Caenorhabditis elegans: one gene and its partner. The protein of the gene in region 1 purifies or fractionates together with the protein of each later gene. This does not show direct contact. Each region holds a gene or a part of one and is shown in the gene's direction. Other genes may lie near its edges.

What was found. Proteins that work in one complex are often made in the same cells at the same time.
Region 2: the proteins of unc-3 (region 1) and let-363 fractionate together in Caenorhabditis elegans (co-fractionation; one large-scale study listed by BioGRID). This does not show direct contact.

What each region holds. Positions count from the first base shown.
Region 1 is NC_003284.9:14,769,867-14,777,635, forward strand, and holds the start of unc-3 (Transcription factor unc-3), read left to right. Parts: upstream 1-3,671; 5' UTR 3,672-3,724; coding exon 3,725-3,810; intron 3,811-6,789; coding exon 6,790-6,849; intron 6,850-7,017; coding exon 7,018-7,235; intron 7,236-7,300; coding exon 7,301-7,356; intron 7,357-7,654; coding exon 7,655-7,769. Other genes in the region: Y16B4A.2 (Carboxypeptidase), read right to left, coding at 33-181, 229-310, 720-845, 892-983, 1,121-1,544, 1,625-1,695, 1,830-1,958. UniProt on the Caenorhabditis elegans protein: Transcription factor. Involved in motor neuron fate determination and maintenance, acting as an activator of gene expression in a subset of motor neurons. May act in concert with GFI1 homolog pag-3 in motor neuron fate determination.
Region 2 is NC_003279.8:5,242,682-5,250,694, forward strand, and holds the start of let-363 (Target of rapamycin homolog), read left to right. Parts: upstream 1-3,061; 5' UTR 3,062-3,099; coding exon 3,100-3,222; intron 3,223-3,277; coding exon 3,278-3,378; intron 3,379-3,431; coding exon 3,432-3,726; intron 3,727-3,770; coding exon 3,771-4,100; intron 4,101-4,149; coding exon 4,150-4,361; intron 4,362-4,405; coding exon 4,406-4,466; intron 4,467-4,516; coding exon 4,517-4,689; intron 4,690-4,828; coding exon 4,829-4,942; intron 4,943-4,988; coding exon 4,989-5,286; intron 5,287-5,893; coding exon 5,894-6,007; intron 6,008-6,056; coding exon 6,057-6,234; intron 6,235-6,670; coding exon 6,671-7,041; intron 7,042-7,052; exon of another isoform or gene 7,053-7,105; coding exon of another isoform or gene 7,106-7,210; intron 7,211-7,270; coding exon of another isoform or gene 7,271-7,756; intron 7,757-7,801; exon of another isoform or gene 7,802-7,856; intron 7,857-8,013. Other genes in the region: mrpl-47 (Large ribosomal subunit protein uL29m), read left to right, coding at 1,712-1,806, 1,861-2,025, 2,076-2,181, 2,225-2,346, 2,395-2,611; B0261.5 (uncharacterized protein), read right to left, coding at 7,106-7,210, 7,271-7,756. UniProt on the Caenorhabditis elegans protein: Serine/threonine-protein kinase that regulates the mRNA translation machinery, probably by modulating the activity of translation factors such as eIF-4G and eIF-2. It may have some protein kinase activity instead of lipid kinase activity.

The sequences.
Region 1 (7,769 bases):
GTTAAGTACTACATAGTATGCAAACTGCTCACCTGCAAGTCTGGAAGTTTGTACTTGCATTCACACTAACATGAAGTGCAGCTTGAACATCTTGTCTGTTTAAATAAGCGGCGGTGGCTGAAAGTGCAAAGCATGGATATCCTCTGAATGAGTCCGTTGAGTTGTAGTTATCTACAGCTGCCTGAAAGTTACTTCCTAATGTCAAGCGTTAAGCGTTATGTTCAATACATTAATTCCAAGTTGTTTGAAGGATGTTTGCCATGCAGCTTGGTTTCTGTAGCAGTCTTCGTTGATGTTTGTGTTGTCAATTCTGAAACCAAATTGATACAGAATGTTCAAGTATGGAAATGACTAAAAGCTTGAACATGTGTTCAAATAGATGGTCAGTAAATTTATAGAATCAATTGTATCAAAAGTTCATTTCTAAAAATCAAAAGTTCATTTCTAGTTGTAGCTGTGTGATCAAGTAAATCGATAATATCAAACTAAAGGCTAAAATGAATTTAATTTACATTGATTTCAGAACACCCCCTTCTTGTAAGTACTATCTTATTGGCTCTAAAATTTTAAATTGTTGCGTTGTTGCAATCTGGTCTTTGTTCTCTAATATTTTGTGACCATAGCACTTTCCCCTCATTTTGATGACTTTCCATTCCCAATTTCACAAGTGATAAAATCAAGTGTGCATTCCAAATTAAAAACGATCAAAAACCACGTACTGATAATTTGACCAAGTGGCAATTGCGTTGTCAGCTTTGGTTCTGCATGCTGTGTTACTGTTGAAAAAATCGCAAGTTTGGGTGGAAGCATTTGTGCAACAAACTGATTTGAGATCGTCATATTGTCTGAAAATAAATTCAAAATGATAAATGATAGAAAAATAGGTCCAACTTTGATCCGGCAAATCCATGAGTGTAGTAGAATGGGATGAGACTGTTGTATTGGAGGCGAGCACTCAAGTCACCATTTGCAAGAAGAAGTCCCTGAATTTTTCAAAAATTTCATTTTTAAAATTTCCCAGCAAACTTCAGAATTGAACTATGATAAGAATAAATAGAAACTCATAAAATTTGTTTTAATGTATCTGATAGTGTTGCAACAACTTTTGTAGATAACTCACTCGAATATTAACTGGAGAGGTAACAATGTCCGGTCTTGGAGTGTTATTCACCATCAGAGATTCTACCAACGACGAAGCAAAGAAAGATCCGTATCCTTCACCAGCAATGTAGAGATCAGAGTTTAGCATATTTGGATACACCGTATAGAAATCCATGAGAGCGTTAAGAAGAGCACCAGTTACGTAGCTGTCGTCTTGAAAGAGATTTTGTTGCCATGAGAAGCCGGCGCCCGGACCGTCGATGGCAAGCAAATTGGACACCTTGTTCCAAGCAAACACATTTTCATACACCGTCTGACTATCACTAGACACATGGAATGGGCCGATTTCCTGGATCTGCCCGAAAACTGAACTACATCCCGGACCTCCATTAATCCAAAGAAGGAGCGTATCATTGGAAGGGGTCAGTTGAGATTCGATTAACCTGAAATTGTTTTATTTTGTTTGGTAGTCAAGGTTCAGTATCCAGATAATAAAATGTTTAGATTAATATCTTGAACTTACCAATAGTGAAGATTGTTGTAGTTTTTGTTGGGATCAGAGTTGAGGTAACCCGCATACTGTTTGAAGTTCACCTAAAAGGTAATGTGTTTAATCAACCTGCGAACTTTTTTAGTTGTTTAAATTTTACCTAAAAACACAGAAATTTGGAATAAAATAATTCTGCATACATATTTTCAAAAAACAAAAATATAAAATGTATTATTACCTGAAAAATAGTCCCTGGCAGTTGATTAACCAAATCGGCCTGGGCTCTCGTGGTCGGCGTGGTTTGTCCATTCCGCAACGGCGCTAATAGTAGTAACAAACAAAGGAGTAAAATTTGATGCGCCGCCATTCGTATTGCACAAATGATGATGGCAATCACTATCAGTGCCCGAGCATCGCTTTTATAGAATAATGAAAGGAAATTTTACAAGCACACAGTTCAGTCGTTTCAGCGTTTCAGTCGTAAAATTTTGTTTCGTGAGCGTTGATATGTAAAGTGAGTTGACATTGTGAAATAAGTGCTGGATGGTACAAGACGTTCCGATGTCGAAAAATAGAAGGACGAGAAAAAAAAAACAACGCTGTCGTAAACCTGCTCTTTAAGTTTAGTCTGCCGATTGAAGCTGTGTATTAAAATATTTCTGTCAAGCATTTTTAAAAGGGAAGAATTAATTTCCCCACCATTATCAGAAAAAATTTCAAATGAATGCAACAAATCTAAAGCTATGTTATTGTATTTAATATTTGTATTACAAACTGCAAATACTGGAAAACTGTACAAACACGTGGTGTCAGAGTGTCTTATTTCGGTTTGATCTGCGTAGATCTACAAAAAATGCGGGAGAAGAGACGCAGAGTTCTCAACTGATTTCTCATGGTTAAAAATGTGCTGACGTCACATTTTTTTTTGGGAGAAAAATTCCCGCATTTTTTGTAGATCAAACCGTGATGGGACAGCCTGGCACCACGTGCATAAACAATATTCTTTATACAAACGGGGTGGTTCATAATTATGGGGTCCAGTTTACAACAGTGCAACTTTTTTTTGAAGTTGGAACAACACAACTGAATACCTACTTTAATTGCAGAAAAACCTTATGCATTCAAGTGGCTACAAGACCTCGCGTTCCGAAACTACAAATAAAATAAAACCCAATATAACACAACTTATATAATAATATTTCAGCTTCAATTCAACACCATGATAAATATTTTTGATAATTCCAGCATCCCTGAAAACGAACTTTGCGCACTCACTCACACCTGGAAACATCTTAGCAACTACGGTAGATCTGAAACATCGTTGCTTTAGTGAAAAGAAAAATACCGACTTGAGAACAATATTCTGTGTATATAAATGTTTTATCAAAGCAATTGTGATAACTTCGCCAAGTTGATAACTATGAGCAATATTACACTTCACTTGCACGACTTCAAATGCTGGCTCCTGGCTTGTTCCTAAAAGAAGATGGTCACAAATAGCCAAACACTCTACATTCTTGATTCCAGATACCGTAATCTGCAATAGGACACACGAATCTCCATCAATTTTCTTCGCTATCCTCTCATCCTCTCCCATCTCTTTATTTTTTTGTGCTTCTTCCGTTTTTTTTGTGTTGCCTTCTTCAGTGTTGTCTGTCTGACCTCTCACGTCTCAATTGTTGAAGATTGTGAAGAAGTATGCACAAAAGAGGACCAAGGCGTGGTATGCTATGCTTTCTAGGATGATTGATGAAATCCTTCACTTGACTTTTCTGTGTGTCATACAACTATTTTCTGTAATATTTTTGGTGAGCCACCACACCAGGCTTGAACGTGAAAGGGGTGCGAACAATCTTCCCCCAGCTGCCCCCCCATTTTTTTGCTGTAGAGATTTTCAAAGTTTCGCGCCGTGCCTTCCGGCTAATCAGGCATATCTCCATAACCATAATTCACAGTCAGCTGGCTCAATCCTCACACTCGCTCCGTTATTCCTCTCCTTGTTGCATCTATCAGGCGTACTTGGACGGGAGGCCGTCGGACCCAAACCGCTTGTGACATATAAGAGATTAATCTTTTGCAGAGTCGGTTGTGTAGCTGGTGTTGTTGCCTCCCACTTGATCCGAAAACTGTGGCATGAGTTTGACAGCTCCGCTAAGAGCTGGCCAGATGAACTTCTATGATGAACCTTATAATCCTGTATTAAATCTTCACATTCAACCGTAAGTTGTTTTACATGGCTTTTTAGGCTGCCTTGAAAAACTTGATGCTGGAAAATTGAGCAGAATCTTAATAAATAAATAAAGAGAATCTGGTATGGGAGCTGTACTGATCTGAGGCTCCGGAATACTGGAAGTTGTTAAAATAAAATTTATTTATTTTTGGGTTTGATACCGTTCAGACGTAACTCCTTAATTAAATTTGTCTTAGTAAAAGTCGAAGAGGTTCTACTAGAAGTTAATTCAAATTTATTACGTTTGGTACACAATTTCAAAAACAAGTCCATAATTATGGACCACCCTGTAGGATTAGGTGTTTGTGTATTATATGCCATCATATCTAGGTTATTCATTAATAACCATTACAAAGAAATTTGTTCAATTTTTGAGCTTAGGTTAATATTATTTCCAAGCATACTTCATACTAAACATATCATTCAATGGGTTAAATAATCTGGAAATTATAATATACAACTACATAGATATACAACTATTTCTTAACTAGGAATGAGCCCCCTAAATCACAAAAATACACCTTGTAAGCATCTTTTCTAAACCTGTCTATTTTCTAAAAACATTTTGATACCATATTCCTGAATACCAAAATGTGTATCTTTAAGGTGATTCATACCTCATTATTATGTTTGAAAGCCTCCTCATTCTCAATGCACTATTGGCTAAAGTTTTAGTCATTCTAACGAATCTATGACAATAGCTGTATACTAGCTATCACAAGCTAAATATCTCTTCGCTCATAATATTTTCCGTCTATCCTCAAACTCAACAGTTGTATATTCTCTTTTGACTTTGCTTCAATTAGCCGTACTCGGGCTCGTTGCCTAACAACCCACCCTCGGAATTGATAGCCACTATCATCCTTCTTTTTTGTCCATAACAGCCACTCTTATTAGTATTGCTTGGTGAGCGTTAATATTATTATCTGATGAATACTCAAACCTTGGAATCCTTGCTTTTCAGCAATTCTGGTGTCTTTGCGGACCTTCAAAGGTAAGATAGAACTTCTAGGACGACACTTTTGAAATAGAAGAGACCCAACTCCTTTTTTTTTGATGACGTTAGCGGGATTTCATTCCCAAAGGGGAAATTGTAAGGTGTTCATGGCTTGCGATACATTCTTGAGCTTTATTGGCGATGAGTTTAGTAAGTCTAGAATTATGTTTGAAACACTTAAATTAACAATTAACTTAGTAAGTATAACGTCATTTCTATAGCGTCATACGTTGTTATGATTCAGGTGCTGATGTTGAAGATGAACTTTTAGAAATAATTCAAAAAGTACATCATCTTGTTGTTCCCAAACGTTTTTGTAATCCATATTTCTTTCATTTTTCTGCTTGGATTTGAGCATTTTGTTTTTACATAAATTTCTCAATTCCTTCCGAATCTAGAATCCCGTACATGGTGAATGATGAGATTTGGGCTATTGAGATGTTACAAATTGCGTAGATGGCTACAAACTGATAACTGGAAACAAGTGGACAGAGAGAGGCCATCTCCGTTTCGCGCGTTTCGGTTATATATCTCTTATTGCTAGTCCAGAAATATTTGCATATTTCGAAAACGGGGCAGAGCACTCACAAACCCACACACAAACACACATACCAGTTATACGAGTTCGCAGCTGTCTTGTCGGATTTCAAACCATTTACATATATGACAGAGTGAAGTGAGGAGCCCACGAGCACACCACATATCACCATGTTTGGGAAAGATAGTAGAATGCTTCACTTTTTGTGTTGAGTTTTTTTTTTCTGAAATGGGTGAAGGCGTAGGAGCAAAGGAGCAAAGACAAGGAATCGTCTTCTGAACATTTATACAACAAATATTACAATTTCCAATAATCAATTATTAAACATAACATGAAGTCTGTTTCATTTCATTAAAGAGATAATTGCATTTTATGTTAGCTACTCGAAAAGTAGATTTTATTAATTGTTATGTTCGTAAAAATGTTCGTTCAAAACATTTATCAAAAACTCAGAAAATAACATTACTGTCTAGATCACGAAATCTAAAGGGAATTGAAATATAAAAATTTTTCATAATAGCAGCTATACAATAACAAAATAGCATTATCCCAAAAAATATTTTTAAGGGTTTTTTTTAGGAATTTCAGATAACCCATTTTCGTTTTAAATTAAATTAAAAAATTAAACCCATTTTCGTAATGAGATTTTTTGTACACTTTTTGAAAATGTTTCATGGCGGATCTGAACTTTGAAAACAATATTTCGTTTGCATATCGAATTATAATTTTTAGGCCTAAAAATAAAAATAGTACAGGGTTGGTCATTATCAAATTTTACACAAGTATCAAAATATGGTTAAGATGTTTTTTCTAAAATAAATTACAGTTTTATTACGGAACGAAAATACATTCAATAAGCATATATATATATATATATATATATATATATATATATATATATATATATATATTTGATTTTTGGGAACCTCTTAGCCAAGATTACGTAACAGAACAAAATATTTACTATGTTCATAAAACATGAAAAATATATAATTTTCATCTGCTTAAAAAAAAAAGTCGGTAGCGTTTTAAATGAGATCGCAATGGGAGAAGCACGAGAAATAATTATCTTTCGAGCCCAACTTCACCGAGTTGAAAAATTGAAGCACCCCCTAGTTCATCACATGTTTTTGGCTGGGTTTTCTCCCCGCCAAACCAAAACTTTGTCTATGCTTTTATCTGTGCTTCATCGTTACTCCAACATCAGTAAAGCCGGAGCCGCAGTCAAATCGGCCCGTCGCCAGATTCCTTTTTAGCTACTCTCCCCTCAATGTTTTTCCTACTGTGTGCCCACCCATTGGCCCCTAGTGCGCAGTAGGCGGAGCTTGCGAAGCTCTGCCGAGCACGCTTGTGGATCTGTGTCTAATGAGGCCGGTTCCCGAGGGGCCGCTGGCTGTGCAAATGTTCTTTCCTGACTCGAATACCTTACTCAGGTCTGTAAAAGATGAGAACCAGCGGAGCACGTGGCCAATCATCGACACGTCGAATACAAGGTTAGTTTTTAATTTTCTTATTTTTGATCCCTGGTGAAATATTCATTTCTCCAGAAACAATACTGAAAATTTATATATTTTTTGTATTTTTAATTGAAATAATTCTATTTAACAAATTAAATTGTAAACAACATTTCAAAACTTTTTATTCAAAATTTTTATCTTCAGCACTCAAATCGCACGAGCTCATTTCGAAAAGCACCCACCAAACAATCTCCGTAAATCCAACTTCTTTCACTTTGTCATTGCACTGTACGACCGTAACAGCCAGCCGATTGAAGTCGAGCGGACTCAGTTTGCAGGATTTGTTGAAAAAGAGAAAGAAGTTGACGGTCAGGATACCAGAAATGGGATACACTATCGTCTGTCTCTAATGTTTCAGAATGGTGAGTTGTTGGAATCTAAGAAAATCTAACTAATGGGAAAAATTGCAAACCTTTTTTTCTTTCAGGAATCCGCAGTGAGCATGATCTGTTTGTTCGGCTCATCGATAGTTCCACTAAACAGGTATATTTTTTTTGCTAGATAATTTTTTAGATCTATAACACATTCCACATACACATATAAAATGCGCCTAATTCCCTTACCAATATTTTCTCAATTTTGCCTACTGTAAGCCCGTTTATGTATAAGCATTCATCGAAGCTTCTTTCACATTCATCATTTTTATCTGGCACGGACAGAAAAAAAGGCAAGCTCTGTCTGAAGCATCGCCAAGTTTATCGGCGCGCGAGCACAAAAACGCGCGAAATGAGCATAGGCACCAAACACACAACACCATTAAAGTCATCACATCAAATTCTAGGCTATCACATACGAAGGACAAGATAAAAATCCGGAGATGTGCCGAGTGCTTCTCACACACGAAGTCATGTGCAGTCGGTGCTGCGAGAAAAAGAGTTGTGGAAATCGAAACGAGA
Region 2 (8,013 bases), on another chromosome or scaffold:
GAAGTGCAAAAATGTCAAATGTCAAAATATGAATAAGAGATGAAAATCAAGCGCAAAGTCAGGTTTTCAAACATCAATCTTTTTGAACGTTATTTGTTTAATCAAACTGTATAAACTTCAAGAAACTTTCTAGAAAAAAGAATGAAATAACGGCAAACCGGATATTTGTGGCATTATTTTTGCTTGAGTTGGATTTCAAGCAAAAATCTTCAATCATTTTCTAGCACGTCAAGTAAAAAGTAAAGCTTTCAAGCTTTTGCACCTCCTGATACGAATAATGAAAACATCATTAATATTTTAAACCTGCAGAAAAAATGGTTTTCCTGGTCGACTCTCAAAACTATGACCGATGAAAACTAAGTAATATCCACTTTATGGTGGTAAATAAACATATTTCAGATTACGCTCAAAAATATTTTATGACATTTGACAATTTGAGGATTATTAAAGTAATTTTAGCATTTTCCCCACTATACCATCTTTAATAAAAGAAAACTCAGTTTTCAATGTGATAAAGTGATATAAGAAGAATTGAACTAAAGGTGAGGGAGTATAAGAAACGAAATGAAATTGTCTTCTTTATCTTCCTGTCTCCTCCAGAACACTTTCCCTATCTTTTCAATTCATTTTGTGGTGCTCAGTGAGCATTAGTGCGATGTACAATCTTCAGAGACACAGAGACAAGACACAGGAAGGGGTTACAACCGCAATGAGCAAAATGTTTCGGACATTACTTCAAGATTGAAAGACGACACCTGACACAACACGACCTCTTAATGATAATATTGTTCAAAAAAAAAACTATTGGCATTTCAAAATGTACGATTCGACGATGGAATATCTTGTTCACACACTTTTATATATACCAGCCGTTCGCACACGCAAAGCGCGTGCTCCGACTGGCGTACGCTAAATTGTTTTAATGAATTTTAAAGTGCTAATGTAGCATTTTTGTACAGTTATACATTCTCCTGGAGTTTTGCGGACTTTCAAGAAAATTCTACAACTTTCCAGGTTTTTCTTTAAAAAATTCCCAGAACTTTTTAGAAAATTCTAGAACTTTTCGGATTTCTTCAAATTTTAAGCGCTTCCAGAATTTAATAATATAATTTTTCTAGGTGCTACAAGCTTCCAGTTTAATCAAAAAAACTGACCTCCAGGCATATAAATGACCGCATTTTTTATTGGGAGATTTATTTAGTTTTCGTAATTTCAAAAATTAATATCTGACTTAAATTGAACTTTTTTGAAAATGTTTCTTCGGGGACTTGTTTCAAATTTTAAGCGCTTTCAAAATTTAATAACAAAATTTTTCTAGGTGCCAGAAGCTTCCAGTTTAATCAAAAAAACTGACCTCCAGGCATATAAATGACCGCATTTATTTATTGGGAGATTAACTAAGTTTTCATAATTTCAAAAATTAATATCTGACTTAAAATGAACTTTTTTGTCGAAGAATTTTTTCAAGAAATAATTACTTGAAGTTAATTCAATGTTTTACTGAAAACCCATGTTAAAAGTATTAAAACTTGCTATTGAAATTTTATCTAGAAAAAACTATTTTTTGAATTACCTCTGCTATGGGGGAGGCAATTGTGCGGTGGAGCGCACTTGCCGCCCATTTATTATTTTTTGGCAGCAAGGTTTTCTCCAAAATATTCTATTTTTTAATGTTTTCTTTTGTTTTTATTGAATATTTTGCTCTTTATATATGCAAAATTTTGATTTTACCAATTTTCATTCTTTGAGGTTCTTCAAATCTACAATGTGGCGTAGTTTACCGAGTTTGGTGTCTTCGGCTGTTCGGTTAGTTGATAAATCGAAGTTTGTTGAATTCCAGTTAATTTTTGCTTCTTTTAGATCACAAAATGCCGTCAACACACGATTTTCCAGTACAATGAAACAATTTTTCGATGATGAAGCGAATTTTGGAAAAGCAGAGCTCCGCCCGAAACATCGGCCGGGCAGATCGTGGACAGCAGAAGAACTGAGATTAAAAAGCAATTCAGATTTGCATAAGCTTTGGTAATTTAATGGCAATTCGGTTTTAAATTTATTAAAAATTTAAATTTAAGGTATGTGTGCTTGAAGGAGCGAAATATGCTGATAACGATGAAAAAAGCGCACACTTCACGTGCCCGGAACATGCCAAACCCAGAGAGACTTGATCGTGTTCATGAGGTATATTTTAAAAATTTAATAAATGCAAAATGATATATTTCAGACAATGGATCGTATAGAATCAGTAGTTCACGAGCGAAATGATGCGGTCTTCCGTTTGGAAACTGGAGAATCCGCGGCTCCACGCAAGAGAACAATCACTTCATTCGCTGGATTTACATATCAGTGAGTTCCTGATAAAATTAATTTTTTTAAAATAAAAATATGTTCCAGAAAACAAGCCACAGAACACTTTGCACCACCTCAACTCGGCCAGAAAGAATACGAAACTCCATATCTCGACGACGATGCCTACGTGATGCAGAAGCTTTGGCAGGAAAAAGAATTCATGAAAAATCGAGATAGATTGGATGATGAGAAGAGACGAGCGGCACGAACAGAAGACATGGACAGATTCAAGAGAGGAGCTCCACGAGTTTTCAATCGATAAAAAGTTGTTTCTAGATATTTTTTTTGTTTTCGAGTAGGCTTTTAAAAATGTTGTTTGCTTTGCTTCCTTCCTCAGTTTATTTAGTTTTTCAAAGAATATCCATTGTTCTTTTTTCTTGATATTTTGAAATATGCAACGGGTTTTGTCAGCCCATAGTTATCTGATATTACAAAAGGCTCCGTGTTGTTCTCATATTTTTCATTGAAAATCCCTTGATTTACATAGGAAAAAAAACCTAATTTTTAGCTGAAAAAAATTTAAAAAGTGGTAAAAAATTACCTGAAAGTTGTCTATTATCGAACTATCAAGCTATATTTTTCTGAAAACGGCCAGTTTTGAGCACTTTCTTGATTATTTCAGCTGGAAATAATTTTATTTTCGGAAAAAAACCAGTGATTTTCTATGCTTCTGATCATTCTCATAACTTTTTATTCTTAACGTAATTTTAAGCCCACAATGCACTAAATCGGCAGAAACATCTTTGAAAAATGCTCCAACAACACGGAATTAGTTTTCAAATGAATGCCGATAGACAGAACAAAGCAGCCACAACTTCCAATCGAATAGTCTCCGCTCCAGCTACAAATGAATTTGACGAGCGGCATCGTAAAGTTAGTATTTCTTCTCCTTTAAACAATTTTTAAGGAAAAAAAAATCATATTTCAGCAAGGGATTGATGCTGCAAGAGCTCTTGCTTCACAATATCGGAGCCGAATTACGGAAAATAGAGATGCAAATCAACGACAGGCTGCTCGAGAACTCAGCAGGTAGTTTTTTTTTTAAATAAAAGTCAATAAATTAAATATATTATTTTCCTCAGATATGTTCGAAGTGAGCTGAAAGACGAGCCAAATACTTTTAGTGATGCTTTCCTGAATGCAATCGATGGACGAACAGATATAGCCTCTCAGAGTGCAATTTATAATTGTATGAAGTCGAATTCAAATATCGATCAGAAACGAGCCGGTATCTATCTCATCGTGTGCTTAGCTGAAACTCATTCTGGAAATGTTATTCGATATGCGAATTATCTTCTGAAAATGTTAAATAATGGAAATGGATTAGATGAAGATACAGTCAAGATGGCTTCAAAAGCTCTCGCTTTTCTGATTGCGGTAAGTAATTTAATTTTTTTTAAACCAATTTTAAACATTTGCAGACTTGTAAATCATACGCGGCCGAGCTGGTTGATCGTTGTCTTGATCATTGCCACGAATGGCTTGGTCAAAATGTTCCACATAGTCAGCAACCCAAAAATCAACAGGAAATTGATCAAATTCGTCGACTCGCCGCTTCACACCTCTCTCGTGAGCTCGCACTGGCCACACCGACAGCATTCTTTCTTCGTGTAAACTTATTTTTCAAGTATATCTTCAACGCTGTCAGAGACAAGAATCCAGCTGTAAGAATCGCCGGAATTGATGCATTACACGTGGTTTTGACAATTGTTTCACAGCGTGAAGCAAAGAATAAAACTGAGTGGTTTAAGGTGATCAATTAAAATTTTGATCTTTCGTTAGAATGATTTTATATTCCAGAAATGTTTCGATGAAGCACTGGAAGGTCAACCAAACCCATCGCAAAAGGACGATTTGGATAGATGGCATGCCGTCGCCCTGATTCTCAATGAACTTCTTCGAATTTCTGATCAACGATTCGAACTCATCAGATGTGAATCCTCACAGTTTATTAAACAAAAGTTTTTGAAAGAAGACGAAGAAGAAGGTGTTGAATGGCTTGTCCTAACTAAGTAATCGATTCTTTTTCATCTATTTAAAAACTTGTATTTTTAAGGCAACAAACTATTGTGGAAAGTGTGACTGCTCGAAAGCTGGTTTTGGAACGATTTCCGAAGGTAAAAGCTGAAATTCTTCATTTCCCGAAATTTGTTATGTTTTTTTCCAGATACTCGATTGTGTTCGTCAGATAATACCTCTCGCAAACAAAACTTCATCCACGAAACAGCAAAGCTCGATTTACCTGAATACAGTTCTCATGCAGCTTCTACCAAGAATTTGTGCATTTCCACAATGTGATCGAACTTTTCAAACAATCTCATTCGACACTTCATTTACTATGTACGTAGAATGGAAGAGGACTGATGTTTATGGGCTTTTAGCTTTTATAGACTCGAAATGCGCTAAAAACGAATTTTGTAACGAGACTCAAAAAAAATTATGGTGATTCAAAATTTCCAATAATGTTCAATTTTTTCAGTCTTCAAAGAAATGCGGTCGCTGCTCCAGCAATCGGAATGATGATGCTCTCGAATCCAGATGTACATGCCACACATATCGAGAAAACAATCAGTTTTATCTCTGCTGCTATCAAGTAAATTTGAAATTAGTACACTTTTTTTAATAGTTAAATTTTGTAGAAAAACGACGAATTCTGATGTTCTCGATAATTATTTCACATTCCTGTTCCTATTTGTGGATGCTTATCACGAACAAGTGACGACACAAATCAAGGCAATAATTCCACAATTAATGGATATTACCCTGTCTCGATCGCTGGCAAACGTGCTAAAAATGATTATGATGAGAATTCCGAAACTGCGGCTGAATGTTCAAGATGGTGTTATGGCTTCTGTCTATCAAACACTCACTGGATCTCTAATTCCACCAAAATCCGAACCGATTGGAAGGCCTGCGAGTCCTAAAGCTATTTTGCAGGTTTGTTTCGTAGAGAAATTTTATAATTTTGCTCGAAGTAATTTTTTTGAATCTGAAAAGCACATAACATTTTTTAAATAAAGATCAGAATCCCATCAGATTTAAAAACGCTTACAATTTTATCTTTTTTGAAATAATTTTCCGTCAAAGTTTCGACATTTTTCTATATTCGAACCAAGGGCGTCGTTAAAAATTTGTATGATTTTTCGCTTTTTTCAGATATGTTCGAAAAACAAAAGACAGAGAAGCTATAAATTTATCGAAATTATCTTTTGAAAAATAGAGAAATGACCAGAAATTTTTCGAAATTTTTGATTTTTGTTTCCAGAAATCGTAAATTTAAAAGCCGAAAAATCGAAAAAAAAACCTAAACTTTGCGGGGTTTTCAAATATTTTCATAATCAGCAAAATAAGAAAATAGAAATGGCGACTTTTTAAAATTTAAATTTTTCGAACAGATTTCCTATGATATTTTATCATGTTAGCATTAACAATGGTTTTAAATATATTTCTCATTGGCGATATTTCTGTTGTGCAAAGAAGTAAATTCAAAAAATCTCAAATGAGAGTTTTGGGGTTGTATTTATGCAAAAGATTTATATTTCAGAAAGCAGAAACCGATCCAAAAGAGCTTCAACGAATCGTGCTGGCTGTCGATGTGCTCGGTGAATTCTATTTCTCAAGAGGTGCCTTGCAGAGAATCATGCAATACGTTGCAGATGTACGTTCGAAAGTTTTCTCGATTTTTCTGTAATTTTGTGGTTTTTCAGTACTACTTGACAGCGGACAATGTGGAAATCCGTTTGGCTGCTGTCTCTTCGTGTTGTGAAATGGTCGTACCATTTGTTGGAGTTTATAAAAAAGTTACAAGTGACAAGAGAAATAGTCTTCTTCAAACTATTTATGGTGTGCTGCGAGCTGTTTGTTCGGTTATTGTTAATGATCAAGGTAGGTATTTACTCGAAACTACGGTAACTGGTCGAAACGAGAATTAACCGCCTTTAAATAGCACTGTAATTTTAAAGTTTTATTTTTTTCGAAAATCGATAAACGAAAAAAATTGAATTTTCAATAATTCTTCTAGTCATCTCAATATTTTGGATTCATCATTTTTCGAAAAATCTATTTTTTTATTGTCTCGTCCGAACATCTCTCAATTTTTCTCGATTCTCAAAAAATGACAATTTCCCTATGATTTTCTGGAAAAAAGTCGGAAAATTTTAATGAAAATTCCGTAGCAACAAAAGTTTGAAATTACAGTACTCCTTAAAGGCGCATACCTTTTTCTATTAAAACAATTGTCGTGTCGAGACCGGGTACAGTACTAATGGCGCAAAATTGTGCTCCTGATCAAATATTCAAAAATGTTTTTAATTTATTTCAGATGTCCGTGTCAGAATGCAAGTAATCAGCTGTTTCGGACAAATGCCACGGCCATTCCTTGCTCATTTGGCTCAACCCGAAATGCTCGAAGTACAATTTATGGCTCTTCACGACGAAAAACTCGAAATGCAGCAAGCATGTGTGACGTTACTCGGACGACTCGCAGAGCTCAATCCGGCACTTGTTTTGCCACGTCTTCGATTGATGCTCCTAGAGACATTGAGTCAAATGCAACAAAGTGGTCAGGCAAGATTGGAGCAACATTCTGCGAAAATGATCGCGCAATTGGCGAAACAGAGTCCAAAGTTCATGAGACCATACGTTGGAAGTTTAATGATTGCTATGATTCCAAAATTGAGAAATGATCAAAAAGTTAGTTTTTTTTTGTATAAAAAAAATTTATTCCAAAATATTTTCCACAAAAAAGCTAAGAGGTCTATTTCGGAGCAGCTTCTGCGATTTTCCTGAGATCATCAGCTGACAAGTCACCCAGTTTTTCGTAGCCACCGTCCGCTCCGTCTGATCCATCATTAGGTTTGGCCTAAACAAAAAAATTTATAGAAAGATGAATTACGGTATCAAGTTAATTAAAATTTCCTACATTAGAAGCAATCTTTGATGGTTCACGAACTGTATGCATCATGGTATTGGCTCGAATTGCAGTGTGCATGCAGGAATCATCTGTATTTTTCGAGTTTTTTATCACAACTTCCTGTGTCTCCTGTGTTCGAGGACTCTTCTTATTCGCCTTCTTCTTCCGCTTATCCGATGCCTTCTTCTCCATTTTCAGTCCATCTTGTTTCTGTGCCTTCAGTGATCTCTGCTTGCTTTTCTTATCACTCAAATTCTTATTATTTTCTCCTAAAGTTGGAAGTTTTCCAGGCTTTGAAACATCCACAACAGCATCTTTTGATCCTCTTTTAGAATTTGTTTTCTCTTGACTAATCGTCGTTGAAGTGACTGTTGACACTTTTGATGGCTTCTTCTTACTCTGTGATGGTTTCTTTTTTAGACATCCAATTACAAAAAAGATGAGGAAAATAATTGGAAGGACAACAGTGATTGTACAACGGAATAATAATAGCATCTGAAAAAATAATATATTTTGAATTCAAAACTGTTGAAAACTCACTTCTTTTCCAAAATTGATCAAATGAAATTGTCACTCTGGATTATTAAAATATTTAAAAATCTAAATAATCGTCTTTGATAATTTCTGACAGCTTTTTTTCTACACGTCGATTAAATATTTTTTAAGATTTCTTTTAAATACATTTTTCAAAGCGTAAAAGAGACAGAAAATGTAATTTTTCTAAAAATTCACGATTTTTCGGTTTTCTTACG